Linked DNA regions of Rhinolophus ferrumequinum. The protein of the gene in region 4 purifies or fractionates together with the protein of the main gene of each other region. This does not show direct contact. Links are inferred from orthologs where the notes say so. Each region holds a gene or a part of one and is shown on either strand. Other genes may lie near its edges.

Region 1 (7,052 bases), on a different chromosome or scaffold from region 4:
TCTTCTACTGTAATAAGTTTTTTTTTTTTAATTTAAACATGTACTGTATTTTTTTTATCATACCTCATAAAGTGAGAAATGGTTCTCTCCTGTTATATGGCCTTATTCCCCTGACATCATTTCAATGTCCTTTCTAGCTTACCCTCAAAAGATTGTTATAACAGGAAGAATGATTAAAATGTGACAAATTTAATGGGGGGAAATTACATACCAATACATGGTCTTTAGAAGCACCATGGTCAAAGCCATATACACAAGCAAATCACAAAGATTTCCTTGTCAATTCTGTATTCCAAAAAAAGAAATCTGAAACTCATACTCACTGTTCCTTCATTTCTACATAGTCCTCTTCATCATGCTTTGCCAGGTCAGTTTCGCTAGCATCCTCAGTATCTAAATAAAATCAGGGAAGAAGAGTTTGTTAAAATCATAATTCATAGAGTTGGTATCACCTGACACAGTGACACTTCTGTCACACTACAGTCTTCTGTAAAATGAAGTTCTACTCAATGCAGGCCTGTGGGAAGAGTCAACGAAAATTGTTACATACAGTTACTTCAGGAAAGAAAATACCATTTCCAACTTATACACAACCAGCTTTATGCAAAGAGCTTGCCGTTATCTGAAGTACAGCCAGAAAACGGTGCATTGAACACATGCGGTCATTCAAGGCTGTTACTTCTGCAGAACAGGCAGTTCAGGAAAAAGAGACATAAGAGAGGAGAACTACAGGCAGGCAAACCTCGATCACTACTCCAAAATAACCTAATATGTATATTCTCTTCTGGTAGATGCCCAGTTAGAATCCTTAAGAGATTTTACATCAACTGTAAGCAAAGGAGAATCTGAATCAATGAACTGAACTCTTAAGAACTGAAATATTTTGAAAGTTACAACTAAAAGGAGACAAGATGATCAAACGGAAACTGTTTCAGAACACTTTAAACATTGTTCTCAGAATAAGCAAACGGCTAGAGTGTCTACATAATTTCAACAGCCCTACCTAAGAGGGGGAAAAAAATCCATTTTGGCTTCATCGCTCCCCCTTGCGGGCATTAGAAACAGTACAAGTGACAAGTGATTCACATTCAAAATACCTGGGTAAGCCTTGTCTTCAAATGTACTTTAAACAAATGCAGTTAGTTCCTTCCACTTTATATCTGCATATACAGATACCTTTTTAAAGGCGGTTAAAGGTCCAATTCTCCACAAACCCATCTCCCCTCCTTCAGTCAAGAGACCTTCACGGAGTTCCTGTCATGTGCCAGCCACAGTACTCAGCACTTAGAACTGAGATGAATACAACATACTCCACAGTACAGCCTCGCTGCTCTAGGCTTTTGTTCCACAGCCCTATTTTGTGCCAGAACATGCCACCCATACACTGGTCTCTAGCTCCTCTTTCTTCTCCCTTGTTCTTTATGTTTCTTCACCTTTCTCCTCCTCCAGCCAGCTCCTTCCTCAATCCCTCCAAAAGTCTTCCTCACACTTGCCAAACTAAAGCCCAGTTTGAAAAGCAAGGCAGAGAGGCAGTGATGATGATGCAAAGAGCGTGAAACTTAACATAACCCCGGGGCACCATTAAGCAAATCCCTACCTTCCGTTGTGCCTATTTCCCCCGTGAAAACATCTACTGAGTTAGTCCTGAGTCCCAGGCTTTCAAGTACCAGTACACTACTGTACGTGCACAACTCATTTAGTTCTCATTCCTACGCTCGGAAGCCCCGTTACAGTTGGGAAAACTGAGGCTTCGTAGGCTTAAGGAAGTTGTCTAAAGTCAAAAGCTGGGTTAAGGGAGCCACATGTAGACCTAAACCTGATTCCAGGTCCCATTCCTGTAACCAACCTGTACTGCACCGCCCAAAGTAGGGCTGACGGACTGAAGCATTTCCCCGGGGTAGAGGGTGGGGGAGCGGAGACGGGGAACAACGGGGGAACCAAGAAGCCAAAGTGGGCTTTGCTCTAACCCTCTCAGGAACTCAAAAGGCAGGGCTGCGCAATGGAAGGCTTTCTCATTCCAACCAGTGAAGACCTGAGGTACAAGCAGAGACGGCGGGGAGTAGAGGGGCAGCTGTGACAACGGCTTCCTAAGTGCCTTCTTCCCATAACTGGAGGGTACAACGTACCCAGAGCTTCCCCTTGCCCTGTACAGGTAGGGGTACCATGCTGGAGCCCCGCTCCGACCAGCTGTCCCTCCGGGCTGCCCCGAGTCCCGCACGTCGCCCCGCCCCTCTTCCTTGCAAAGCCTCAGCCCCTCCCGCAGCGGTCCCACCCCCACTCCGGGCTGCCTGGAGAGCGAAAGGACGCGCCTTCGTCAGACTCGCGGCCCCGGCAGCTGCGCTCGTCGTCCTCGGCGCTCTCCAGCTCTTCATCCTCCTCCGGATAATACTCCGGAGCCGGCGGCGCTCCAGCCGGGGCCGGAGCCGGAGCCAACAGCCCGGCGGCACTCATGTCGCTTCTGACAACAGCCGAGAGCGCCACCCGGGGACCGCGGCCACCCGCCCTGCACACTCAACGCCCGCCTAGCAGCGCCTCAGGGAGCCGCCAACTTGACGAGCGGGAGCCGCGGCGACCCCCTTCCCAGTCTCCGCCAAGCTCCGCCCCTCGCGCCCGCGCTCGGCAACGGGGGCCTCGCGCCGGCGGCGACTTCCGGGTCGCGAGCTGCCCGAGGACCGCCTGACTCCGCCATCCTTCAGGGAGTGGAGAGGCCGCCAGACACCTCCTTCGCATTAACCCCAGCCCCTTCATCGCCGTCGTCAAATCCTCAACGGGTAGTGGGGAAAGGCGGAGACGAGGTCTCTACACTTAGGTAAATCCTTAGACAGACCTGGCCCCGGCCAGGACCCCGAAACTCAGAGGCTACTTCCGGAAACAGCCGCCAGGAGGCGCCTGGGACCAGTGCTAAAGTGAGAATCGTTAGCGACCTGAGAGGTAGAGGGTTTGAAGGGCTCTTGGCGGTTGGAGGTGGTCTCTAAGCAGGTGAACGACATTAATCCATGCCTTTATAGATTGGGACGCCTAGACGCCTAGAGTTTGCGTGATCATCCCGAAGAAAAGGAGCCTGGCTCCTCCCCTGACTAAATGAAGCTTTATTGAGAACTGAAATAAAGACAAGGATGCTGATATTCCATCCTGGGGTCAGCAAAATGGTATTTCCGCAGTCTGTGGGAGTCATTTCTGTTTGTATAGGTTTACTCAATATGATGTTCTCTCGATTTTACAGATGAGAAAAGAGCTGTCATTTGCCCAAAAAAAAAAACAAAAAATGGTTGCATCCAGCCTGCCTTGTTTAGACTCTGAGCCAGGCCCTCTATAATACAGTTGCCTCATATTTCTTAGAATATTAGTTTTTTTAAGGTGATTTTCCCCAATTCAGTAACTTGCTAACCAACTCTCAACTGTTCAAATGGCACATTAGCCTACCGGAAGTTACTTATTAAGCTAACTTAGGGAAGGTGTTATGTGGGAACTTAGCTGAATATCTGCATGAATTAATTTATGTGATTCCCTCTCAGTAGAAGGGGACACAGTGTTACAAGCTTTGCTTAATGAACAAATTTAGATGTCCCTTGTCTAGTTGTGTGTAGCAAGAAAAGATAAGGAAAAGGGCCCATAGATGTTTAATGGATTGTCCAAAGAAACACTACTATTTATGTTGCACCAAGTCTCCATAGAAAAAGTAACAAGTAGTAAAGTTGATCACGGTGTAAAAGACGGGGTGGAATCCAATATTACGCTTCTCAGATCCTTTGTGACCATGTTTATCTCTGAATAGGTCCCCATAGAGTCTTCTCAAAGTGAAAAAAACCTATTCTCATCCCATTTATTTTAACATTTCTTATTTTCTACCTTGTCAATTAAAATCTTGGCTCTGTTTGTGAGGGATTTTTCCTCCCAACAGAACTCAAGAATTTCCAGAATAGAATGCTGTGATGTCTTTCCAGGACTTCAGAGATTTTTCTGAAGCTCCTTCTAAATAAGACTCATTCTCAGAGCTCACTGTAGGTCTACTGTCTATATATAAACTAGGATTAGAGAACTGTCTCTTGTCCAAAGGATGACATCATTTTCTTTTTTTTAATGCTCTTAGATCACATCAAAATTATTTGTAATCAAGTATATTGAGCAACTTGAGTTCCTGTTGGTAGCAATAATCATAGACCAGAGAAAGCACCATTTTAGAAATTAGAGTTCAATGATATAACGAATTTTTTAAAAGTTGATTTCGTTACTAATTGGTTTCAAGACACTGGGATTTTTGTCTTGCTTATGTTTTATTTCTGTTTTTTTTATTGCGAATAGCATCTGTAATGGTCATGCATTTCTTTTTTATATGAATAGACACAGTTGAACATTTGAGTAGTGGGAACTTACCCCATTTCTTCTTTTCCATATTGCCAACTTTAGAATTGGTAGAATGAGCTCTTAATTAATAAATACTCTTTAGAGAAGGACATAGTCAAAAAAATTCTCTCTTACCCAACCTTGATAGTTGTTTTAATATAATGGTTTTCGACAGCCTCTCTAAGCCTGTAAAAATCAAGTTCCCTCAAAACTAAGTTTTACCACCTTGAAATCTCTCTGCATCCCTTCCCAAAATGGCATTCAGCACACTGCTCAGGCCACATCTACTTCAAAACTAGTCTTCAAGTCCTGCCAGCCCCATTTTCCTAGGCCCTTTTTGCATACCCTAACACTCAAAGAGGAGTATCTTAATTGGAATGGGGTAGGATTTTAAAACACTAAGGAAAATATGTGTAATGTTTAGAACACAAATTTTGTCAGTGGGAATTAACACAAAAAAGAGTTAATGACGGAGTTTTCTGAGAATTAAGTCCTATATACATCTGACAGGGCTTAAGATCAAATTGTGTCCTTGAAATGAAACAATTTCTTCATAAAACGCTAAATTTTCCAGCCCATAAACTTTGGGGTTTAGGGGTGAGGGTAGCTGTTTTCAGTTTCTGATATTATTTAATCAAAATATCCAGTTTCACAAAAATATAAAGAATGGTTCTGAGTCACATGATGCACTTTCACCCCTAGCAGGCCCCATCTTTCAGTTTGGATCAAGATGGGTCTCTGGTTATCAAAGGGTGTACACTTCAAAGTTCATTATACTTTGCCCATTAGTTCGCACAGAAAAATGTTGTATAGGCTTGCTAAAACATTGCTAAAACTGCCACACAGTTCTTGTTCCGCCTGTCATGATGATCAAAACCCACAAACTGATTATTTCTAAAGCTTTGTCCTTATACTTATCAAAATGTGTCCCATCAGTGTTGAATGTTTAGTTGTGCAGAGTCTGCATCTAGTATATAGATTTCTTTTTTCAAGAGCACTAAACTGACGTCTGCTGAACGCAATAAAGGAAGTGAAACTCCCTTGACAAAGATATAAAAGAGTTTAAATCCAGGAAATATTTACAAGTCCTCGGTGAATAAATGTTACATTAATTTTTGGCAGAATTACTGAGGAAGCTGTGCGAGGTCTAGCAGAAGAATGGGGACCTCCTCAAAGACTCTAACATGGTGGTCCAGAGAGTCCCAGAAGGTCTTGACCTCTGGTAGTCTCCCAAGAAAAGTAAAGGTTCAGGGAGGAGTGCCCGAACTTTGACCCAGCGCAGTACAAACAACGGTGACCGCACCCCAGACCGGCCAGGGGGTAACTGAAGTTGCAAGGTCTTCCGTCTCCGAAAAAACCCCGCCCCGCCCCGTCCCGCCCACCGTCAACTCCGCCAATCCTCAGGAGCCATCGACCGCTCGGCTTCCCAGGCACCTTCAATCAAGTACCTATATGCGGCCCCAGGCCGTGCCCGACGATCAAGGAAGGTCAGTAGAGAGCCTATCGGAGACGAGATGGGGGCGTGGTCGAGGGCCGGGGGCGGGCAGACTGAGACCGTGGGGCGGAGCGCGCTCGGCGCAGTCGGGTGCGATTGGCCACCCCTGGCAAGAGCCGCACCTCGGACAGCAGCAGCGGCGGCGGCCGCGGGAGGGTCCGTGTGGCGCCCGGCGGCGGCGGGGTTCTGCGTGAGAGAGTGGGACGCGACGCAGAGACTGCGGGCGGAGGCTCCGCGCGGCCAGACCCAGCACTCAGCGACCGGACCAAGGGATCTGCCAGGGGACAAGCGGCAGAAGAGGGACTCGGGAACAAGTGTGGGAGAGGAAGCGGCGGCGGCGACGCCGGGCCCGGGTGGTGACAGCAGGTCTGAGGTGAGAGCACCGGGGCGCGGGGCGGTGACAGCGTGAGCCCAGGAGAGGAGATCACGGGCGGAATGAGGTCGGCGAGGACCCGCGTGAGGGGAGTTCCAGGAGCGGGTTTGACAGTCCGGACTATCGAGAGAAAATCCCCGAGAGGGGCTGGGGTAGAGGGTCTGAGGGGGGACCCCGAGAGGGGCAGGGGAAAGTGAGTCTGAAGCGGGACCCTGAGAGGGGCCGGGACAGCGGGTCTGAAGAGAGGGGACCCCAGGAGGGGCCGGGACAGCGGGTCTGAGGAGAGGGGACCCTGAGAGGGGCCAGGACAGCCGGTCTGAGGGGAGTTCGCCAGAGGAGCCGGGACAACAGGTCTGAGGAGGGGTGGTTCCCCGAGAGGAACTGGGACAGCGAGTTTGAGGGGCGTCCCCGAGAGGGGCCTGGAAAGCAGGTCTGAGGGTGGGGGTCCCCGAGAGCGGCTGGGACGGCCGGTCTGATGGGGTTGGGACAGCGGGTCTGAAGGGGAAGGGGACCTCGAGAGGGGCTGGGACAGCAGATCTTGCGGGGGAGGTTCCCGACAGGGGCCGGGACAACGGGGGGCCGGCGAGAGGGGCTTCTGATCGTGCCCGGCCCTGCGTGAGAGAGGAGAGGGAGCCTGGGTCCTGGTCGCTGCGCGGGGCGAGTTAGCACAGCCCGCAGCGCAGAGAAGAGGGGACCGTGCTGCTCGCAGGGTCCGCCGTCAGCCGATCTTCCTAAGGGTAGCGTGTGAGGCGTGGGACATTCTGAGCCCCCGTGACTCCGTGGGGTTACTCTGTGGACCAGGGATTATGTAATGAAACGTCTCCTAAGTACAACGCACGG
Region 2 (7,213 bases), on a different chromosome or scaffold from region 4:
ATTAAAAAATCCTTAAGATCCTCACATATCAATAGGCAACTTCCCCTCCCCCCTCAGCTCTGGATGAGACGTTTTATAACAGGTCTCTCTGGGGGAAATAGCTTAGGAAAGAACAAAACTCACAATCACTTTTTACAGAAAAGCAGACTTTCAGACTAACCCAACATTTTAGTAGCACATTACACAGCAGGCTCAAATCTTTCTTCGGTAACTCTACACGTTTACCTTGTAGAAGATCGATTCGGCAGTGATTATGGTGGAAACTGACTCAGGAGCTTTAATGGGCTATGAAAAAAACAAAAGTAAAAATATTAGCACAGTCATACTGTGTATGTGTTTATGTACACAGGCATTTTTTTTCCAGCCATATATGAGAGTTCTGTAATTTGAGAAATACCAAATTTGTTGTTTGGTGACAAAACTGCAATAAAAAGATAACTGATTTTCTGAATGTTGTGGCAAAGCCCAGTTTGAATATTTCCACTGCTACTTGTGCTACCATTAGCTTAAAATTGCTGGGAACTAGAGGAGAAGTTCTGATTATGCTGCTGAGAGCTAACACAAACCCTCACATAATAATGTGTTCTTACACATTAACGTTTTAATTATAAAAATATACTAGCTCTAATGGCCTAAGACAGAGCGGAATAAAAATGGGTAGCTGAACATAAAAGTGAAAAAGTGTCTCCCTAGCAATTTCCATCTCAACTTAACTATGGAACTACACGATACTCAGTATCATCAGAAGTCATTTTCTAGCAAAGCCTGAACTACGGCTGAAAGAAAATTCCTTCAGAGTTCTTAGTAATCTGCCACCACCTATCGCTGAAACCCATTCTTAAGCTGCAATACACACTTTTATGCCACAACACAGAAAGTAGGCCTCCCCAGATATGTCTTAGTATCATACTTAAAGAGATTGCTAGAGAAGTTGATATTGAAATAATTAAAGAACATATTACCTGATACTTAAGAAGAAAACATGAATTTAAGGATACAACTATAATCAAACGAATATTTACTTAACATGTTTTGTCTAGTCAACAAATGCCTCATTTTTAGAAAACTAAAGTATAAAAATCTTAAGACAAATTAGGGACTGTTCTCAGTAAGAATCCACAATATACTGCAGGGCCCATTTATGTTTTAGAAATATGCCTAACTTCAGAAATGGCTTTACTGGTAAGTCAACCCTTCCTGTTCTGAAAGGAAAGAATACCATACTGAGGTTTAAAAAAATAGAGTGCATTGTGTTTGACCATTGCCCCCTTATATTTACAAAGACAATGAAAATTTACTGCACCAAAAATGTGCTTCCAATTACCCCCAGCATGTCTTTCAAAAATCTAGTTTCTTACAACAGAAGAACAGGTAAAGGTTTAGCAAAATTTTTAATTCAGATTCATCAAATTGACTGTAAGTCAGTAACATGCATTTTCTGCGGCTATGATAACAAATATGGAAATGAATGAGTTCCAGTAATACCATTTACTTAGATCTTTAAATAATGGAAAAAAAGTTTTCCTAGTGTACCTGGCCTTACCAAGAACCATAATCCTTTGCATAAAGAACCCAATAAAATGCACCCAAGATTTGTTTCTTTCAGACTCATATTTTATATTTTTCCAGAGGAAAAATAAAAGCTAAAAAAAAGAAAGGGTATTAACTTTGCAAAAGTAAGCCTCCTGCGACAGAGCTCAGCCTCTTTAGGAAATCTGGACCACTCCCCAGAATAAGAGCTCCCAAGAGGAAAAGTTCACAGAGAAGAGATGAAGGCAGTATCAAGACACACTACTACACACACAATGCCATTACAGTAAAAGACACTGTCCACAATCATCTTACATTTTTTAATTTAAAAATATGTCTTCTCCCTTTTCCTTTAGTGGAAACTTTCTTTTCAGCAGCTGGAGCCGATTTGTATTTAGTGTTTCTGAGCCGAGCAGACCTCCTGTGAATTTCCTGCTTACTCTGTTACATAAACAAAGAACAAAAAAGAGAAATAAAAAGTGTAGAAAGGTTGTTGTCCCCATAGAACCATCTTACAAGGATCCCAGAGTATATGCACTTTATACAGTCATTTAAAAATTAAGTATACTCATACATAATTCCTTTTATTTTTATGCTGGGTAATAACGTGAACTGAGCTAAAACAGGGAGGGCCCTAGGCAAGCACCTCCAGAGCTTTTAACAAGTTGTGAGCTGCTAACAATTGAGCAAAGGGCAGAAGAGCAAGTCTAGGTCAAGGCAAGAACTATATATTTGTGCTTGTAACAGAGAAAAATCCTTAACAACTCAACTCTCCAACGCCAGAAGAGTTAGATATGCCACCTCCTACAATGGAATATTTATGCTGCCATTTATAATGACATAATATAATAACACGATATAATGACAAAATAGCCTTTATTAACGGGTAGAAGTCCAGAAGCATGACACCGTTTAGGTCTCTATGTACCACTGGATAATGAGATGCCTGGTTGCTACCCAAAATATTATTACAATAGGGGGATTTCTGAAGGGTTTTCAATTTTCTTGCTTCTTTAGATTTTTAACTTTTCACAAGGTGCTAGAGCCAAACCAGTTAAGATCTCTTCAAGAGGCGGAGGGCGGCAGCCCGGCCCAGCAGGGTCCCGGGGTCCCGGGGTCCCGGGGTCCCGGAGGCCCGCGCCCGCCCCCTCCCCGCCCGATTGGCCTCCGCAGGCGGGAGGGGCCGGAGGAGCTCACCTGCTTGCCGCTCCCGCCCCCGTTGCTCTGCGGAGGAGCGGCCGAGGTGCTGGCGAAGGTCGCCGCGCCGAAGCCCCCACCGCTGCTGCTGCCCCCCGTCCCGCTGGCGGCCCCCGAGCCGCCGCCCCCGCCGCCCGCGCCGCCCCGGCCCGTGCAGTGGTGGCAGAGGATCTCCCCCTGCGGGCCCTTCTTCCACATGGAGGACGACGTGGTCTTGCAGACGCTGCAGGTGGGCTTCAGGCCCAGAGGCATCGTGGCCGACTCGGGCGGCCCCCGCGGGCGCAGCGACACGGGAATGGCGACCGCCGGCCCTGGCCGCCCACTGGTCGGCCCGTCACGTCCACCGACTGTAAGAGCGGCGCGGGCGCCAAGCTATCCACGTTAGGACCCGTCCCCGGCCGCTGCCCCCTGGAGGCAGGAAGCCGATTCCACCACTTGGGAGCCAAACACCAGTCCCGGATCGCCCGAGGCGCCTGGCGGCGGGGCCAGGGCGGTGCCCGGCCTGGGAGGAAAGCATGGCCTGGGCCCATAGGAGGCATCCGGCGATGGGCGGGGCCGCGCCGCGCTGGCCCGCCCACCTGACCGGAAGTGTCCCACCCGGAATTACTAGGAGCGCGCTGCCGGCTCCTGTGAGGGTAGTGGTTCGTGAACTTCTTGGCCTTAGGCCTGGGGTTGGCAGGTGAAGTACTGGACGCCCAGTTAAATTTGAGTTTCAGATAAGCAACGAATAATTTTTTAATATGAATGTATCCCATGCAATATGTGTGTTTACCTGAAATTCAAATTTAGCTGGCGTCCCATACTTTTACTTTCTAATTCTGGCACTCTTGCTCAGGACCTCCTTACACTCTTAAAAGTTATAATCTAGACCCCAATGTAGTTTTGTTCATATGAGTTAGAACAATGCACTCTGTGAGGGGTTATCTAGCTGTTAAATCCCATGCTTCCTAGTTTCTGAAGCCTTCTGGTAATGTATTCCCCTCTGCACCTCATCTCCAAGTTACTCCCTCTCTTCACTGAAAACTTTGGATCTTAGCTCACCAGCTCCTTTCCACCAAAGGACACCATCCTGGGTGGGGTCAACATCCACATGTATAACCACCCAATTTATACGTTCTTATCACAAGAAAAATTTTGTAACTATGTATGGTGATGGATGTTAACTGGACTTGTGTGATCATTTCACAATCTATACAAACATCAAATCATTATGTTGTACAACTGAAATTAATATAGTGTTACATGTTGTCATGCAGGGTGTCATGCGGGATCTCTGGTCCCGCTCCCCACATAAGAACACAGGACAGGCCAGAAAGGAACAGCCACGGAGCCATAGATAGGGGAGTCATACAACTATATTCTTGTTAGCGGCTGGGGTAGAGACACAGGAAGCAGGAGCCACACGATCCGCAACCTGCCTTCCACTTCTCTGCCAACCAACCAACCCCTTGCTAACTGCAATCTGCTGTGCTAACAGCAATCTGGACTTGCTAGCTCAGCCACCATCTTCTTGCTAGCCCCCATTTTTTGCTAGCGTAGCCACGGCAGTTATATTAGTGCCCAATGACTCACTGGTTACAGCTGATGGCCAACTAGCCACAGCTGATGGCCATCCAGTCACAGCTGATGACCATCTACTATCTGAGCCAGCACCTTTCCACGTGAGGCCGAGAGCCTGGAATCTGCACTCCTGGCTCTGTCTCCACACATGTCAATTATACTTCAATATAAATTTAAGAGGGAAAAAAACAATTTATAGAACAGTGTATAGAATATGATCACTTTGTGTAAATTAAAAGCTACGTGTCTGTGATGTGTACTTTTTTTAGTCATTTAGACAAGAAACTGTTGACAATTGTAGCCAACAGAAATGGTGAGAAAGGGAGACTTCCACTTTTCATTTTGTACCCTTTTGTATTTTGTATTGTTTGAACATTTTCCACCACATGCATGCATTTTTAAAATTTAATTAGAAGGAGGAGGAGGAAATAGAACAAAAGAAGGAGGAGAGGAGGAAAAACTATCAAACGGAAAAGAAAATAAAGGCAGATTTTTGGCCCTAAAACTCCTCTCCCAGCTGGAGGTAGTGGTATAGAATGAACAGTACCTGTTTCAAAGCCTGACAACTGAACCTTTTCACTGCAGCTCTGTTCTTTTGTAAAGCGAGGAAGGTGTTGTCCACACCAGGGCTGTGTGAAGATATGATCCGTTATTGTGCTTGGCACATAGTAGTTCTCAGTGAATAAGTGGGGCTTCTCCTTTAAGCAGCAAAGCTGTAGCATCACAAAATGCTTATGCAGAAGTACTAGAGTGAACGAAAGTAGTGTGCTGTGAGGACAAATAGGACGACTATGTGGAGGTGATGGGGGGTCAGGTCAGGAGGTGAGGAAAATGGGTAAGGAAAAAGAACTCGGGGAGGCACTGTAAATGAAGGCCCCGGCCCAATTCCCTGCTCCCTCCTTGGCCTTTCAGGAAGAGCATGAGCCACAGTGGTCAAGCCCCAGGGCTGCCTAAGGTGTCAGGAGGGAGATCTGAGAGAGAGAGAGAGAGAGACAGAGAGCGAGTGAGCTGTGAAAACAGAAATAAATACCTCCCAAGGTCTTAAAATTAACACTAAGGGAAAGGAATAAAGCACAGTTCCCCCGGGAATTATCAATGTCAACATGTAGGCTAATTTGCACGATTTAAGTGTTGCATGATTCATTAATTAAAACTCTTAAAGTGAAAAAAAGAGCAGATGCGTAAAATATATCACAAGCTGGTTTCAAAGAGATACTGTTCACCACGTTTTGTGCTTGGTGGGGACAGGCCGTGCAGGATTCCCTTACCACTCCGACCCTGTCCTGGGTATCTCAGGGGCATCCTGCCACTGAGTCTCCATTTACTCACCTGTTATAACACAGCTCGTAAGGTTGCTGTGGGGGTTCCATGAGTTAGTACCTGTGAGGTTGTAAGCAACTTCTACATCTGGTAAGTGCCTGATTAACATCAACTCTGAGGCTGATAAGATAGGAGGAGGTGGGGGGGGAAGGGGGAGGCACCATTTCTTCCCACCAGACTGGTCATTAGTTATACCCCTCCCCCTCCCACAGAGAATCTTGAAAAAAATGTAATTAACTGAAGTTGCCTATTAACATTAACAAACTAAAGAGAGACATCGTGGACTGGACCGAGAGACAACAAGTGAGACCTATGAAACCGTAAGAAGGTACAAGGGAAGAGAGCCAAGGCAGATGTTCTTTTTCCTTTTTTATCCTCAGGAGGGGCATCATGATATTTCTGTCTCCCACTGCACTCATACCTTCTAGGTTATAACCTAACAGAACTCCTTTCTGTTCTGCATGTGTGCTCCGTGGTTCCCAGACCCGGGAGTCGGTTCAAGGTGTTCCCTTTGCCTGGAATATGCTTCCTCGCAACACTTTAAACCCGACTCTACTTATCTTTCCAGAATCAGCTCATGCATCACTCCCTTCAGGAAGCTTCCATGCCAGAAGTCTTACCCCCTTTCTCCAACTCCCTGACTGAAATAGCTATTAATATTTCCTGTTGTGATTCTTCCTTTCTTCTACCTTAGGGTACACCTTTGTACCTGTGTCTCCTCCACCGGACTATGAGCAGGTTGAGGAATGGAAGTTTGCTTTTTTCTTCTTTGTGTCTCTTACTTTCCCATGCATTGCATACAGCAGGCATGCACTAAAGTAGCAGTTTAATAAGTGGGTTAATAAATCAATGAGCCTCTCTCAGCAACAGTCTCCATTCAGGGCAAGTGTCTACTCCCATTCCCCTCCTCGCTACCCGCCACTTCATCATCTGACGTCTCTCACAAACAGCCTGAATTAGGCCTCCCCAGGTCCCCCCTGGCCGGCAGCCTGGGGTGGACATCTCCCTGTATCATGGGGGGGCATCACCGTCGTCATTATCCACCAGGAAAACTAACACCTGACTAATCATAAACCAGTCACTTATGTGAAAGAAATGTGCAGGATCCCTGCTGGGGAGTTTCATAGGCATCTTTCTCCTGCTTGGGAGAGGTGATGACATGATGGGGAAGACGCCACATCCTCCAGAAGCCTTTTGCTAAGACTTCAGGACACTCCCTGACATGGAATTGGTTTTGGAGATTCAGATGTAAGCCTCCTTGAGACTCAGCACAAAATACATCAGCCATGACTATTTGACCATCATGAGGCCGGGCAGATGGACTGGACTTAGAGCCCCTCTCCTAGGTGGTGAGGTTGGTGAACCACCCCACGCTCCAACTGCCACTCCCCTAACTGTCGCTCAGAACTTCGCTTGCAGTCCCAGTGCCTGCCTGTCCTTTGGATGACCCGGGGCTTAGGAGCGAGGAAAGCTTTTGGAAGAGCAGGTGAACGCTTCATTTTGTGGTTCAGGGACCAGCCAACTGTAGTTTCCTGAGGAAATCTCAGCTGCCTTTGATTTTTGTTTGTTTGGTTTCAGTTTTCAGTGCTTTGAAAATTTTGCTGCA
Region 3 (7,462 bases), on a different chromosome or scaffold from region 4:
ACAGCTTCAGCCTATTCCTGGCTCAGCTTTCTTATGGGATTCATGGGGCTCAGGCTTTTCAGCTACTGCTCCTTCTGATCTCTCTACATCACTTTCAAAGTCTAGAGAGATTTGAGAAGGTTGGTTAGCTGCATTCATTCTAGTACAGACAGAAATTTCCTTCCATCAGCCTATAGAAGAGTTACCCTAGGATCAGATGCCATCCCACTCTTGGTGTACTAGTTAGCTATTGCTGTGTAACAAATCGCCATAAACTTAGCAGCTTAGAACAACAACCTTTCTTATCTCGCCATTTCTGTGGGTCAGGAGTTCAGGCCTGTCTCAGCTTGGTCCTTTGCCCAGGTATCACAGGCTACAGCTGGACAGGTATCAGCTGGACTAGGTTCTCCAGTGGAAGCTCAACTAAGGAAGCATCAGCTCCCAAGCTCACTCAGTTGGCAGTATTCATTTCCTTGGTGTGTAGAACTGAGGCTCCAGCTTCTTGAAAGTGTTGGGCTGGAGGCCACCCTCAACTCCTGGAGGTTGCTTGCAGTTCCTATAGGCCACCTGCAGTTCCTTGCCATGTGAGCCACATAGGAGCTTCATCAGACCAGCCAGTAGAGTCTCCAGAGTGAGTCTGGCAGCAAGGCAGTCTTATATAATGTAACATGGTCAAGGAAGTGACATCCTCTCATCTTTGCCACATTCTATTGGTTAGAAAAAAGTCACAGGTCTTGTCCATATTCAAGGAAAAGGAATTATACAAGGGCATGAATATCAGGAGAGAAATCATGTCGGGTCATCCTAGGGTCTGTCCACAACATACCACACCTAGCATAGATGCATTTGGGGTGAGGACAGTGGTACAGAATGTGGTGCCCAGACGAGACACATGCTGAGTTTGGCCTGGGTAACAGACAGGTGAAGGTTATAAAAATAATGGATATAAGCAAGTTCAAAAACTTCACAATCTTTATATGTGTAGCTCATTTAATCTATACAATCAGGTCAAGATACGTAATAGTATTCTTGTTTTACAGATGAGTGAACTGGACGAGACTAGGATTTCCCTGACTGGGGACTGGCCGGGGCGAGGGGGGGTGGGATTTGGACGTAAAGGAACCACAAAGAATTAGTTATTTGCTTTTCTCTAGATAATCACCCAGCAGGTGTGATGCCTTTTGGTGTCTGTTCAATCCGTTCAAACTACCTTGTGTGGACAACATCGTTTTGAAGAACCTAGGATACTAATAAGCCCCTGAAACTGGTCAGGGACTTCAAAACCTGAGAGGTGTGAAAGGTTCAACCTGGCTGGGGCACAAGGAGGCTGTCTTCATCACACCAAGCTCAGTGGATGGGGATTCTCAGCCCTAGCAACACAACCGTGGGTGAAACATCTATTTTCCTTCAAGAGTCCACTATCTGAGGGACTGGAGACTTGGGTGATACTGTCTGTCCCTAGTTAGTAAGGAAAACTCAGACTTCATTCATGTACTATGATGTGCTTGTGATTACACTCAGTAAACATTTGTTAATCCTTCCTGTTGATGGAGATATAAAGAGTGATTTCTCTCTCTGCCTACTCCAGGAGGAATACAGAGCAGATAGTGTGGTGCTGTGACAGGGGAACTGGAGAAGTTCCGTGAAAATATCCCGCAGGGCAGGGGAAGGCGAGGAATTCAAGGAAGGCTTCCTGGAGAATATAAATAATTTTCTTTCCAGGTAGGCATCGTAGAACTGGCAGCACTCTGCTGGCTGATTGCTGAAGGTTGAGGCCTATAGAAGGAACTTCAGACTTGAGCAAACCCCTAGGGCCAAATTGTGTGGAGCATTGGTAGAAACTATTGTTGAGAGAGCATCCAATGTTTGGAGAGGCAGTAGGGACTAAATTATTAAGGCCTTTGAATACAGGGCTTAGAGGTTTGGAATATATTCCAAAGTTATTACAACATCATGGATGGAAAGGACAGGCTCAGTTTAATGCTTCAGAAAAAGAACTCTGTGGAGGACAGATTGAGGGTAGGAAGCGATTTGAGTTGGGGCAGCACTACTATAATCCAGACAAGAATAATGAAAGCTTGAGCCGAGGCTATGGAAGTGAGTAGAAAGGGGGTAGAGAGGTATATATGGTGACTCTGGGAGATGGAAGAGTGGAAACAAGAATAAAACTAAAGTCAGAGAGGATGGTGATGCCATTAACAAAAACCAGAAGTCAGGAGTGCAGAGAGGAGGCAAATCAATGTGTTCAATGTGGTAAATTCCAGGGACTTGTAAGACACATATGGACTGGTACAGCAGGTGGAACTGTCAGTGTGCAACTCAAAGAGAGTCACCGTGTACATAAAATTTTGTCATTTTCAAGAATTATATTTGAAAGTGTAAGAGGGTGTTAAACAAGTTAGGAAGACAGTATAGAATTAAAAGAGGGTTGGAGTCTTAGAAAATGCTATACAGTATCTGTGAAGGAGGGGGGATAATGGAGATTGATAGGAATAAGAGTAAAACCAGGTGAGAGGGTGGTTATAGAGGCCAAGGGAAGAACACTGTAAAGAGGAATTACCGTCAGTAAGCTAGACAAGATGACAACTAAGGACCACCGGGTGAAGTTGAGTAGGTCACTGGCAACTTTTAGGGAGCATTTTGAGAAGGGCGGCAGGAGCAGAATCCAACAAGGGTGGAGACTGCCTAAGGAGACGAGGCTAAAGTGTATTGCAGCAGCTCTTTCAGAAGAAATTTGGTAAGGGAAGAAAGGAAAATGGCTTGAGGAAAGAGGATGGGTATTTGACACTCATTCTAGCAAGCCGTTATCTTACACAGCTGGGCACGATAGAAAGAAGGGATTTACGCCCCGTTTATTTAACTAGTCACAAAACTCCTGGTCTAAATTGTTACCTTGGGAAGGCAGGAAGGGGGACGTAATCTTTATTATCAGACCCAAAGTTTGCTTCAGCAGCTTTGTCTAAGACTTCTACAAGTGTATAAACTCCGACCCTTAAATCTCCCCAAAATAATAACAACAAATCAACACCATCCCCCCTTCGCTTCTTTGCAACTGGAAAAACTGAGCAGGTGCACAGTACCCGAGCCCTGTGCCAGGAACCGCTATCCGAGCCGGCCTGGTTTAACCAGAGGGTGCTCGGCTCTGGGGCAGGCAAACCCGATGGAGTCTCCCCAGATCGGCACCCTGATCCTCCCACGGTGCGCAGGCTTTGCGGTCCGTGGCCTTCGGTGGTGTATTAAGGCCCACTCGCAGCGCGGGGAAGCGAGCTTAGTTAAGAAAACCCTCGGCCGGCCTTGCGATGACCCCCTTCCCCGCTGCAACCAGCCTTCTCCATTACCCTGTTCCCGCGCCGCACTTCCCTCGGGAAAATGAAAGGCATCGCTGTCCGCTGAGGCAAAGGGGCGGGATCCATTATCTTTATACTAGGCAAAGAGAAAAGCCAGGGACAACTCTAGACAGCAAAAGGCGGTGTTGTCTCCGGGAGGCCCCGCCCAGGCCCGCCCTCTTGGCGCCGGGACTACATTTCCCTGAGGCCTCCGCGACTACGGGGGGCGGGCCCGTCCGCTCTCCCGCTCAGACTGAGCGATGACTGGCTTTCCTGGGTGAGGGAGGTGCCTACTACAGCCAATAGGTGAGGGGCTCGTTACGGCGGCGGAAGCAGCGGCGCTGGGCTGAGGGGTGGGGGGCAGAGTGCTCGCGCCCCGGCGGCGGCGGCGGCGGGTCCGGAGCCGAGGACGTCGGCCCCACAGGCGGAGAGCGCACGGCAGCGAGCTCGAGGCGGCGCGGTGGCCACTCGGCGCAGCACCCAGGTAATGGCGGGACAGGCGCCCGGGAGGGGAGGGGAGGAGACGAGGGGGCGGGGCGGCAGAGCCGGGCTGCAGCGTCCGTCCCGCTGCGCGTCCCCGGGGAAGGGCAGCGGTGCCGCGTCTCCGGCGGCTCAGACCTAGGCTCTGTGGCAAGCTGGGCATGACGGTTGGGCCAGTGGCAGGGGCCGGGTGTCCTACGGCAAGGAAAGAAGAGGCGTCGGGCTGACTCGGGCTTGGGGGCGTGGCGGGCGTGGGCCTTGGCTGGGAAGCAAAGCTGCTGGGGAGCGCGGGCGGGCGGACACCCTGAGAGTTTGGCTCCTACAGGACTTTAAAGTGACTCTCCACATCCGGGCCCTGCGCCCGCCGCTTTTAGACCCCGACCGAGGCGGGGCCTCCCAGTTCTCCGCCCCCCTCGCCGGGAGAGCTGCTCTTTCTCTGCTATTGGCTCCATCTCGAGGAGTTTGGGCTACGCGGACAAGGCTCGTGCCTGATAGGTTGGCAGTCGGCGGGAGGGTGGGGCGGGATCAGAGCGCGGAGGCCGCGGCGGATTGGTGCCGGCCCTGGAGTGACGCGCCCGTCCTGGGGCCAATGGGCGGTCGGTGGAGGTAGGGGCAGGTTCGGGAGAAGAGGACTGGAACAGAACGGCGGCGGGGTGAGCGGGGCCGAGGGGCTGGACAGCGGCGGGCCTGAAACGCGCTCCGCACGAGTCCTCTCCACGACCCCGGAATCTAGCGCTACCACCGAAATGGGCCCTACACGGCACCCCCAACCAGGCGAGATGGAAGCGGGAGGGGCGGGCGGCGGGCGGCGGCTGCAGGTAAAGGCTCACTGCTTGTCCTGGGGCTCCCCGGAACGCCTGTCCCTGGCCCCCAGACGGAGTCTCATACCCGAAGTGTCTGGAAACCTGTGTTCTCCGATCTCAACTGGGGTGGGTGGGGGTGGGGTTGCGGGCGAATCGGGGATATCGGCATAGCCTGGCTCCTGAGGGAAAAGTGGGCGGTCGATTTTAGAGAAGGCAGTGAAGATCTTGGGTCCCTCTGGCTCACTGGGGGTGGAGGGCTGTGAAAAATGGGGGGAAGGGAAATGGGTAAGGGGAGGCCTATGCAAAAAAAAAAAGCATTTGAGAATTCTTGGATCAGGTCTTAATGTAAGGTTTCTGATTCTTAGGACAGGACATCTCTTTTTTGATCCCTCCTATGACTTACTGATGACAATGTTCACCTTGGTGTGAGGGTTAAGTCTTTCAAAGGGACATGACATTTGCCATAAAACTTTACACAGACACATGCGTATTGTGTTGATGTATTGTGGCTGTTGTGTAGGATTCAATATTGATTTTTGTGGCAATCCACAAGTATTTATGGAGGGTCATAGTATCCCCCCACCATGTTACCTGTTAACGATTTTACTATTAATTGAACCTATCTCCATCAAAAACCTAAAGAATTTAGATCATTTCTGAACTGTATATTGATCACAAGTAATTGTTTTAGATAAATGATGTTGCATTTGCTTTTCTGAGGGAAGATATAGGTATTAAAGATGCTTTAATTTCTCATTATAGATTCTAATCTCAGAATCCAGTAATAACCATATGACTGTATGCTCTGCAGGTGGAAATGAGTTCTCAACAGTTTCCTCGGTTAGGCACTCCTTCCACTGGGCTAAGCCAGGCTCCTTCACAGATTGCAAACAGTGGTGCTGCAGGCTTGATAAACCCAGCAGCTACAGGTGAGATATGTGACATTCTTCTATATTGCTTTCCACTTTAAAAAATATTGTCAGTTTTCTAATCTAAAAATTAGCAAATTCCTTCTGGGATTTTAGTAAATACTAATAGGTTATCAAATTTAAAGAAAAGACATATGGCAATTTTAATTTAAACAAGGCTTTTTCATTCCTGTTTTAATCACTTCATTTACATGTACTAGAATATACATGAAAGTTACGGTGAGCATGCCAGGAAGAGCTATTTTTTAAATATATTAATGTCTTCTCAGTTAGTTGAGGCCAGAGGTATGGTAATCAATGCCATGAGCGAACCCAAAGGTGTGTAAGGCATAGGTCTTGCCTTCTTTACTATCTAGGAAAAGAGGCTAAAAACAGTATGTATACACATATGTACAGCTTGATTTTTACTTGTAGACCCTTGGAGTGCAGCAGATCAGTGGTGCTCAGTGGCATATGATTTTGCCTCCCAGGGAATATTTGACAATGCCTGAATACATTTCTGGTGGTTACAACTAGGAGGTGCTATTGGCATCTGATATTTAGAGGCTGGGGATGCTGCTGACCATCCTACAATGTGCAAGCTGAAGAACTCCAAATAGTCTCTTTCTCTATATATAGCCAGTAAAATGATGGCCCTGCAACCCCCTGCAGTGAAGGCCAGGAGCTTGTCTGTCTCATGCACCTTTGTATGTATTATGCTTGCTATATAGTGTAATGCACAAAGTAGTAGTCAACTAGTTCTTGTAAAGCCACTTATGTTCCTTACTCCTTAAATATTTTGACACTATTTTGTCTTTGGTATACGTTCACAGCAGAATAATTTAAAAGCATAGCTAAAGAGAATATTTTTGAACATCTGTTCTTTGCAAAGAATAAACTTGCCCATTTAAAAAGGTGTCAGCCATCAATAATTGCCCTCAAATTTTGTTGAAAAGGAAATCATTGAGTTAGACCAAAATTGTGTATAATTTTACTTCTGAATAGTGTGTTTTTTCATCAGTGGCTCAAAAAAAAAAAAAAAAGAAAAGGAAAGAAAAATTTTCTGTAAGCAGTTAGATGTTTTTTATATTTCCTATTGCTCTTATCAGAAGAAGTAACTTGGGATCCTAAGCACGTGAGGATTTCAAGTATATGTTCAAAGTTCAGAAGAATAGGTTACAATCACTTCTCTTAACTGCTGCTTCAAGATTCTTTTCTGGTAAAAATAAACTGAAATCGAGAACTTAAAATGTCTGGAAAGAAATGATAAATGGTTCCAAAAAGAACTTCACAGGAGGTGGTCAGAACATTATATCTTAATGAAATTGTCAGAAATCAAAGTCTTCCTGGACAGATAAGTTTAGAGGGAAGTTATGAAATTGTCCATTTCCCTTAAAAACTTAATTAGGGGAAATCTGTTTGGACAACTGGGGAAAGTTAAAAATAAATTGATAATGGAAAGACAGAAGTAAAACTGTCTTTATTCACAAACAACTTGATCAAGTATGCAGAAAATATTAAAGAATGTAAAAAGCTGTTAGAATTAATAAATGAAATTAATGGTTGCAGGATAAAGATTTAATATAAAAAAAATCAATTCTATTTCTAAATACTAGCAATGAACAGTGAAATTTTTAAAGTGTTTACAATGGCATAAAAAAAAACCCAGAAAATTTAGGGACAAATTAACAAAATATGTATAAGACTTGGAGTTAGAAAACTATGTAAACATTGCTGAGAGAAATTAAAGACCTAGATAAATGGAAAGATCTGTCATGTTCATAGATTGGAAAACCCAGTATTTTTAAGACACTAGTTCTACCAAAGGGATCATACAGATTCAGAGAAATCCTATCAGGCTCTTTTGTAAAAATTAACAGCCTGAATCTAAGATTTATATGGAAGCCAAAGGACCTAGAATATCAAAGTAATTTTGATCAAAAAAAGAAAGTTGGAGGACTCTGCT
Region 4 (6,873 bases):
CACCCAGGAGACAAGACTGGTCTGGTCTGATATCTCTACAGCAGCCCTCCCTAATGTGTGCGGGACAGCTAGGACCCCCAAGGCATGGGGGGAGGGCCCCTGCTGTGCCTCTCTCAAGAGCGGAGTAACTCAAACAATTAGGGATTGAGAAAGGCCATTTCCACACAGGGAGCACAATTCAGGCCTGGGAACGACACCCCGCATTGATCCGGCACTTCAGGCTCACAAAGTGCTCTGCTCCATGTACACTACTGCCAATGAGCCTGGTTTTCTCCCCCAGCAGTGACTGTGATTGTTACGAAGGTTAATCCTGCCAAAGCTTTTCTCTCTGGAGGCATGAGTCCCACATCTGGATCCTGGGGCTCCATTTGCAAACGTGAAATGGAAGCTTTTTGAAATTCAGCAGCCGCAGGCTTCCAAGTTCCTTTTTTAAAACTGAGACGCACTTTTCCGCTTTAATAAGACAACACGCTGAATGAAGATGGAGCTTGTCTTGCATAGGCCTCTTGCTGTTCTTCCAAATCTGACTCCCTCAGTGACAGGACACTCCTTCATCAGGAGAAACATGCAAAACGCTTCCTGCGGTAGATTTTTTACTTCCCCACTAAAACCCCTAGGGTAGAGATGGAGGTGGCTGAGAGCTGGTTCACTTCGACCAGTGGTTCTCAATGGGCGGGGGGGGGGGAGGGGGGGGGAAGAGGAGGGGGGATTTTGCTCCCAGGAGACAGCTGGCAATATCTGGTGACATTTTTAACAGTCTCCACTAGGTGAGGGCCTAGTGGGTAGAGTCAGGGATGCTGCTAAATATCTCCCAATGATCTGGACAACTCCCCTGCCACACACTCCGCAGCAAAGCATTACACCTTAAATGGCAACAGGGCCGAGGTAGAGAAAAAACGGTGACCTTATAAAAGTAAAGCTCAAATAGGCTTTCAGATTGCAGAGAGAGGAGGCAGCAAACTGTTACCGAGAGAGAAGGGACCAAAGCCATAAGCCTGAGCCAAGCCAATGAGCTGGCTGGCAATTAAATTCATCACAGCAACAATAAAAATGACCATCCACACCCACAGTCCAACTGTTTCACTTTGTGGGTGGCATCAGTGACCACATGCCCTATACAAGTGTGGCCTACCTCGTGCGCTCACCGGGAAGGCCTTAAACCGAGGCCTCGGCCACGGAGAATGCAGTTATTTTTACTGGACATAAAACTCTGTTAGGACATGCACGAACAGATCTACTCTTGATTTAAATCCTCCAAACGCACTGCTTTTGGAAGCGGAGCCTGCTTGCATAGGTGTTTTGATCTATTCTGATTTGTGCTGGCTTTCCAGCAATGCCATACATGACACGTGCTGCCCAACCTGAGGACCAGGGCGGGCCATATTAAGGCCGAGATTACTCGGATCATTGCAGCGGCATACCTGGCTAGACAGAGGTGACTGTATGTTTAACTTGCCATTCTTGGGAATGTCGATTCTGTACCCAAGGGGAAGGAAAGCATTAAATCCAACAATGAGGTCAGGGTGTTCATGGAAGAGCTGTGAGACGCGTCGGATGACTCCAGGAGTGTCAATGCTGGAACAAAGAAGAACACAAATGGGCAAAAGCGTCTCAGGGAGCCAATTAAAAACAAAATCTATTTCTGATTCCCGTGACAGTGCCCCATAACCAGTTTCTCACTGGCAACAAAGCACCCTAAAATGTGACTGGGGTGATTCTGCAGACTGTGATCTACTTTGAAAGCAGCTAGACCAGGGCTCCCTGTGCCATCCTGGGGAGAACCACAGAGGGATGGGGTCTTTCTTGTGCCTGCAGTCAGGGCCAAAGCCTTCGCATCGGGCTTGTGGAAGGAAACCAGACCAACCCTGCCATATTTCCTCAGAGGAAGACGCAGCATGGTGGGGATGTGACAGTCGAGAATCTAAGAGTCAGAGGGCCCAAGTTCTAGTCCTGTCCCTGCACCAGTCCACTCTAAGCCTCAGTGAGCCTCCTGTCAAACAAGGGCATGAGCGTGAGGTCCCCGGTGGATCTCTAATTCTCCTGATTCTGTGCTATCAAAAACAGTTAATGTGTCTTAAATGCCTTGAAAATGCCAGGTCCCTTACTAAGCATTTTATGCACATAACTTCCTAGCAGGCCTGGGACTAGGGTGAGGTAAGTGAGGCATTCACCTTGGGGACAAAATTTAAGGGGAAGAAGGCGCCAAAACATTCAATAACTAAGATAAATAACATTTTAATACAACCCTTGAAAAAAAGTAATTTTAAAAAGTCCTGGATGAACAAGATTCATTTAAAAATTAATCTTTTGAAGAAAGGCTCTGCCTCTGTGCTGGTCAGACTGGCCTCTTGCCTCACCCCGTACCTGTCCTCCTTCCAGGAATCCCTACAACAGCTCCACAAGGAGGGACTCTCCACTCTCATTTTTTAGAGGAAGGAACTCAGGCTCCGAGAGGTTCCACGACCTGCGCAAGGTCACCCAGCTGGGGGATTCTCACCCCCGCTCAGCCCGATGGCGGCCCCCCGGGGTGGGGAGGGGCCCCGCGGGTACCTTTGGCTTTTGAACTCCTTCATGATCTCCAGGAAGCCGTTGTAAGTGGCAGGGTCGCTGCCGAAGCGGATTTTCACCTGGTCCAAGTAGGTGAGGGCGTCCTCCACCTGCGGGGAGGGGGAGGGTCCCGGTGGGCCGGGATCAGCGGAAGGGACGGTGGGCAAGGGTCCCTGGGGGGCAGGGGGACGGGCCGGGCCTCCGAGGGACCGAGGTGAGGGGTCGAGGGTCCCGGGCCGCGCGAAGGGGAGGCCGAGGTGGGGCTGAGCGGGGCCCGGGTAGGGGGCGCGGGCCAGCGGGGGCTGGACCACCGGGTCCCCGAGGGAGGGCTGGGGTGCCACTCACGTGCACTGGCAGTTTCTCGTGGCCCCCGGAGCCCGAGCGACCCCAGCGGGCGCCGCTCAGCCCACGGCCCGCGGGGCCACCGCCACCACCAGCGTGCGCCATGTTGGAAGTCGGAGCCGCGACCCGCCCCGCCCCCGCCCCCGCCCGCGGGCCAGCGGCGCAAGCGCAGGCTCCGCCCTGGGGGCGCGGCCTGATGATGTCAGGGAGGGCGGGGCTTTTTGAGGGACCCCGCTGTAGGCTCTTACCCTTAAAACCGAAGTACTACTAGGCGATGAATTCCTTACATAGTTTAGGTGGGCAAACCAAGCCCTGCCGCCTGCTTTTGTCTGGCTCCGCAAGCAAGTTAAGAATGGTTTTTACATTTCGTAAACGTTAGAAAAAATCCAACAAAGAAGACTATTTTGTGACACGTGAAAATTCCGAAATTCCAATTTCAATGTCTGTTAAAGGTTTGTTGGAACACGTGCATGCTCACTACTGACCTGCCGTCTCTGGCTGCTTTTGCACTACAGCAGCAGGGTGAGTGGGTGAGACAGATCCTGAAGTCCGTAGAGTCTGATATATTTACTAAACAAGTTGGTGGAGCCCTGCTTTCTCTGGGTTGATGGGACAATGGAGTATAGGCCCAAAGCAGCCTAAACACAGGGCCCTAAGCGGTAAATTCTTACTAAATGGCTCTTGACTTAGTCCTGCTCCTTCTACCTTCACTTCCCTGGTACCGACCCATCACTTCCTTGCTGGACCCGTTCAGGAGCCACTTATCCAATTTTACCAGCCCTGGTACTATCAAGAACTGGAATTATTCCAAAGCAGCTTCCAAAGTCTTCCTATTTCTTGTGAGTTGAAATCTAAGCACCTACATGCAGCATTGAAAGCCATCAGAACCTGGCGCTGACGAACCTTTCCTTGAAGTTTTTCACCCACCTGCCCTATCTGTGCAGAACCTCCTCCTGCCAATGCCTGCCCAGCCTGGCTGCTTCCTGGCCCCATGCAGCAGCACACACCATTTCCCGTGGCAGAAGCTCTGTTCTATCTCTTTATTACCCAGAAAACACCTATGCATCCTTTAAAACAACTAAAGTGACCCCTCCTGTGCCCTCTTACAGTCCTTTGTCCATCATCTTTTCATGCTTCACCTCTAACGCTAATCCCTGACACAGAGCCTTATCAGTGAGCATTTACCAAATGAATGAACATTCAATCAATGACCAAATGGCATCTCTTTTTATACATGAAGAGGTGCAGAAAAGCTGAGGATACATTGGCAGTTGAGTTCATTATTTACCAGGCATTGTGTTACGTGTCAGCAATAGAATAGTGAATAAAACTGATAAGGCTTTTGCCCTCCTAGAGCTTTCGGTCTTTGAAGAAGGATAGGAATCAAACAATCACACAGACAAGTGTAAATTTTCAACTATAGCAGATACTTCAAAGAAAAGGTACAGGTATAACAGTAATGTTCCAGTTACGGTGGCTCTGTAACAAACCCCCCCAAGAGTTGGAGACTTAGAATGACACCAACATTTATTTTGTTCTCCAATCTTCAATTTGGGCAGAAATAGCTCATCTCTGGCCCACTGGTGTCAGCTGGCTGTCTGGAAGGCTGGGGCTGGAATCCTCTGAAAGTTTACTTACTCACCTGTCTATCGGTTGCTGCTGGCTATAGGCTGGGACCCAAGCTGGGGCTGCTGCCAGGAGCACCTACATGAAGCCTCCCAATGCAGCCAGAGCTTCCTGACAACAGGGCAGCTGGGTTCCAAGCACAATCATTCTGAGAGAGGAGCCAGCAAGCCAGATGGAAGCCATATATCACCTTTTCTGATCCAGCCTCAGAAGTCACATGGAATCATTTCCATTGCAGTCTTTCCTTAGTGGCCATGACCAAATCCCTCCCAAATTGAAGAGGAGGGCAAATGGACTCCAGAAGCTGGGGAGTGGCCAGGGTCTGGAATAGCATGGGGGACAGGAAATACTGCCATGACCATGTGGGGAAAATATCCTCTGCCACTGCAGGGACTTAACCCAGTCTAGCAGGGGCTGAGGAAGGCTTCTCAGAGGACATAGCGTTCTAGCTGAGTTCTGAAGGATGTGTAATATTCACTACGAAAGTCAGAGGGAACAGTTGTGCAAAGGCCCGGTGATGGGAAGGCATGTGTCATATTTAAACTTAAACAACAACAAAAGAAGACCAGTGTTTTCAGATGGCATGGGAGTGTGGCGGTGGGAAGAAGGTGCAGGATAAGTGTGGAGAGGCCAGAGGGGGCAGAACACTTATCCTGATAGAATAGAATTTGTGCATGGGTCTTATGCAAGGAGCTACTTGAGTAGTTTTGAATTTGGAAGCAAATACTCTACAGGGAAGTGGAGGGGAGACAGGGAGGTGCAGGGAGGCTGTTTCCTCATAGAGGCAAAGGACAATGGTGGCTTAGACCAGGATGGGAGCGATGAAGGTGGAGAGAAGCGGGTGGAAGGTAGCAACATTTAGAAGGTAAAGCAGAGAGGATGTGATGCTGGGTGGATTTGGGGGTGAGGTGAAAGGAGCAGTGAGGATTCATGGCTCCCAGCCCAGAAAGAATTCTGCTCGGTTTCAGCACATTTCTATGTAGCAGCTAAGGTGGACTGAGCCCTTTGAGGCTACCAGATGTCTGAACAGTCCTTTTCACACCAACGCTGCCTGGCAACCTCTTAGTCACTCTCCTGGAGGACCAACTGCATGTGGCATGTCGAAGGGTTCCTCACACAATGCCCCCTGCACCCAATGAGGGTGATTCTATTCAAATTTTAAGGCTCACTTTCAGTTTTCCAGTCTTTTCATAGGTCTTGTATGGTCAGAGGAAGCCCTCATTCATTTGGAGGCTAGGCAACCACAAACCAATTCCACTGTGTGTGTGTGTGTGTGTGTGTGTGTGTGTGTGTACACATCCTTCAGAACTTGACTAGAATGCCACCTCCTCTAGGAAGCCTTCCTCACCCCATGTTAAACCGAGGTAAGTGTCCTGGGTGGCGGGAGGTATTGTCCTATAATGGTCACGGCAATATTTCCTGTCCCTATGCTATTCCAGAATCTGTATGTGAATGTTTGTATGCATGTGTCAACATGTGGACAATAGCACACGTACATTTTTCCATTCTTATTTTTATAAAGCATAAGACATTTGCTAAGTTTTTTTTCTTTACTATTCTCATTGTCATGCAGGGTGTCATGCGGGGGTCTCTAGTCCCGCTCCCCACATAAGAACACAGGACATGGTGAGGCCAAAAAGGAACACCCACGGAGCCATAGATAGGGGAGTCATACCAGTATAGTCTTGCTGGCGGCTGGGTTGGAGATACAGGAAGCAGGAGCCACACGATCTGCAACCCGCCATCCACTTGTTTCTGCCAACCAACCTCACTTGCTAGCTGCAATCCGCCTCTCTGCAATCAGCAATCCACACTCCACCATGCCATGCCACTCCACGTCAGGACGCCACGCCACGACACGCCTTGCTAGCTTAACCACGGCAGTTATATCAGTGGCTAATGGCTAACCGGTAACAGCCGATGGCCAACTAGTCGCAGCTGTTGACCATCTACTACCTGAGCCAGCACCTTTCCATGTGAGGCCGAGAGCCTGGGAACTGCTCTCTGGGGCTCTGTCCCCACACTCATCTACACAGATTAAGTTGAAAACCTCAGAGTTGACAATTTAGATAGACCAGCTTAGGAAGACAAATTTCCTTACCATCTGTCAAATTTCACATTAAGGTAAGATTCTTATGTAGGTTTTTTGTTGGACAGTATTTTGGTGAGATTAAGAAGACAAGGTCAAAATAGCCTATTTGAACTAATTGAAGTCTTCCCAAGTGGCAAACTTTATGAGCAAAATCTCTAACGTCCTGAACCGTGTGTTGTGGCAGAATTCCAAGATGGACACCGAGATTCTCACCCCTGGTGTGTGCGCCCCATCTAATCCCCATCCTGGAGTGTGAGTGGTACCTG

The links.
Region 1: the proteins of SIN3B (region 4) and SUDS3 purify together in Homo sapiens (affinity purification with mass spectrometry; 3 studies listed by BioGRID and IntAct, counting the BioPlex papers as one, with this or other methods). This does not show direct contact. The link is inferred for Rhinolophus ferrumequinum from reciprocal best matches to the Homo sapiens genes SIN3B and SUDS3.
Region 2: the proteins of SIN3B (region 4) and GATAD1 purify together in Homo sapiens (affinity purification with mass spectrometry; 5 studies listed by BioGRID and IntAct, with this or other methods). This does not show direct contact. The link is inferred for Rhinolophus ferrumequinum from reciprocal best matches to the Homo sapiens genes SIN3B and GATAD1.
Region 3: the proteins of SIN3B (region 4) and SAP130 purify together in Homo sapiens (affinity purification with mass spectrometry; 3 studies listed by BioGRID and IntAct, with this or other methods). This does not show direct contact. The link is inferred for Rhinolophus ferrumequinum from reciprocal best matches to the Homo sapiens genes SIN3B and SAP130.

Annotation. Positions count from the first base shown.
Region 1 is NC_046308.1:11,715,443-11,722,494, reverse strand, and holds the start of SUDS3 (sin3 histone deacetylase corepressor complex component SDS3), read right to left. Parts: upstream 3,011-7,052; 5' UTR 2,452-3,010; coding exon 2,310-2,451; intron 2,212-2,309; exon of another isoform or gene 2,127-2,211; intron 394-2,126; coding exon 324-393; intron 1-323.
Region 2 is NC_046303.1:33,776,656-33,783,868, forward strand, and holds the start of GATAD1 (GATA zinc finger domain-containing protein 1), read right to left. Parts: upstream 3,006-7,213; 5' UTR 2,980-3,005; coding exon 2,728-2,979; intron 1,972-2,727; coding exon 1,846-1,971; intron 286-1,845; coding exon 226-285; intron 1-225. UniProt on the Homo sapiens protein: Component of some chromatin complex recruited to chromatin sites methylated 'Lys-4' of histone H3 (H3K4me), with a preference for trimethylated form (H3K4me3).
Region 3 is NW_022680440.1:1,123,360-1,130,821, reverse strand, and holds the start of SAP130 (histone deacetylase complex subunit SAP130), read left to right. Parts: upstream 1-4,441; 5' UTR 4,442-4,531; coding exon 4,532-4,603; intron 4,604-5,399; coding exon 5,400-5,517; intron 5,518-7,462. UniProt on the Homo sapiens protein: Acts as a transcriptional repressor. May function in the assembly and/or enzymatic activity of the mSin3A corepressor complex or in mediating interactions between the complex and other regulatory complexes.
Region 4 is NC_046301.1:50,221,635-50,228,507, reverse strand, and holds the start of SIN3B (paired amphipathic helix protein Sin3b), read right to left. Parts: upstream 3,013-6,873; 5' UTR 2,995-3,012; coding exon 2,893-2,994; intron 2,658-2,892; coding exon 2,551-2,657; intron 1,576-2,550; coding exon 1,422-1,575; intron 1-1,421.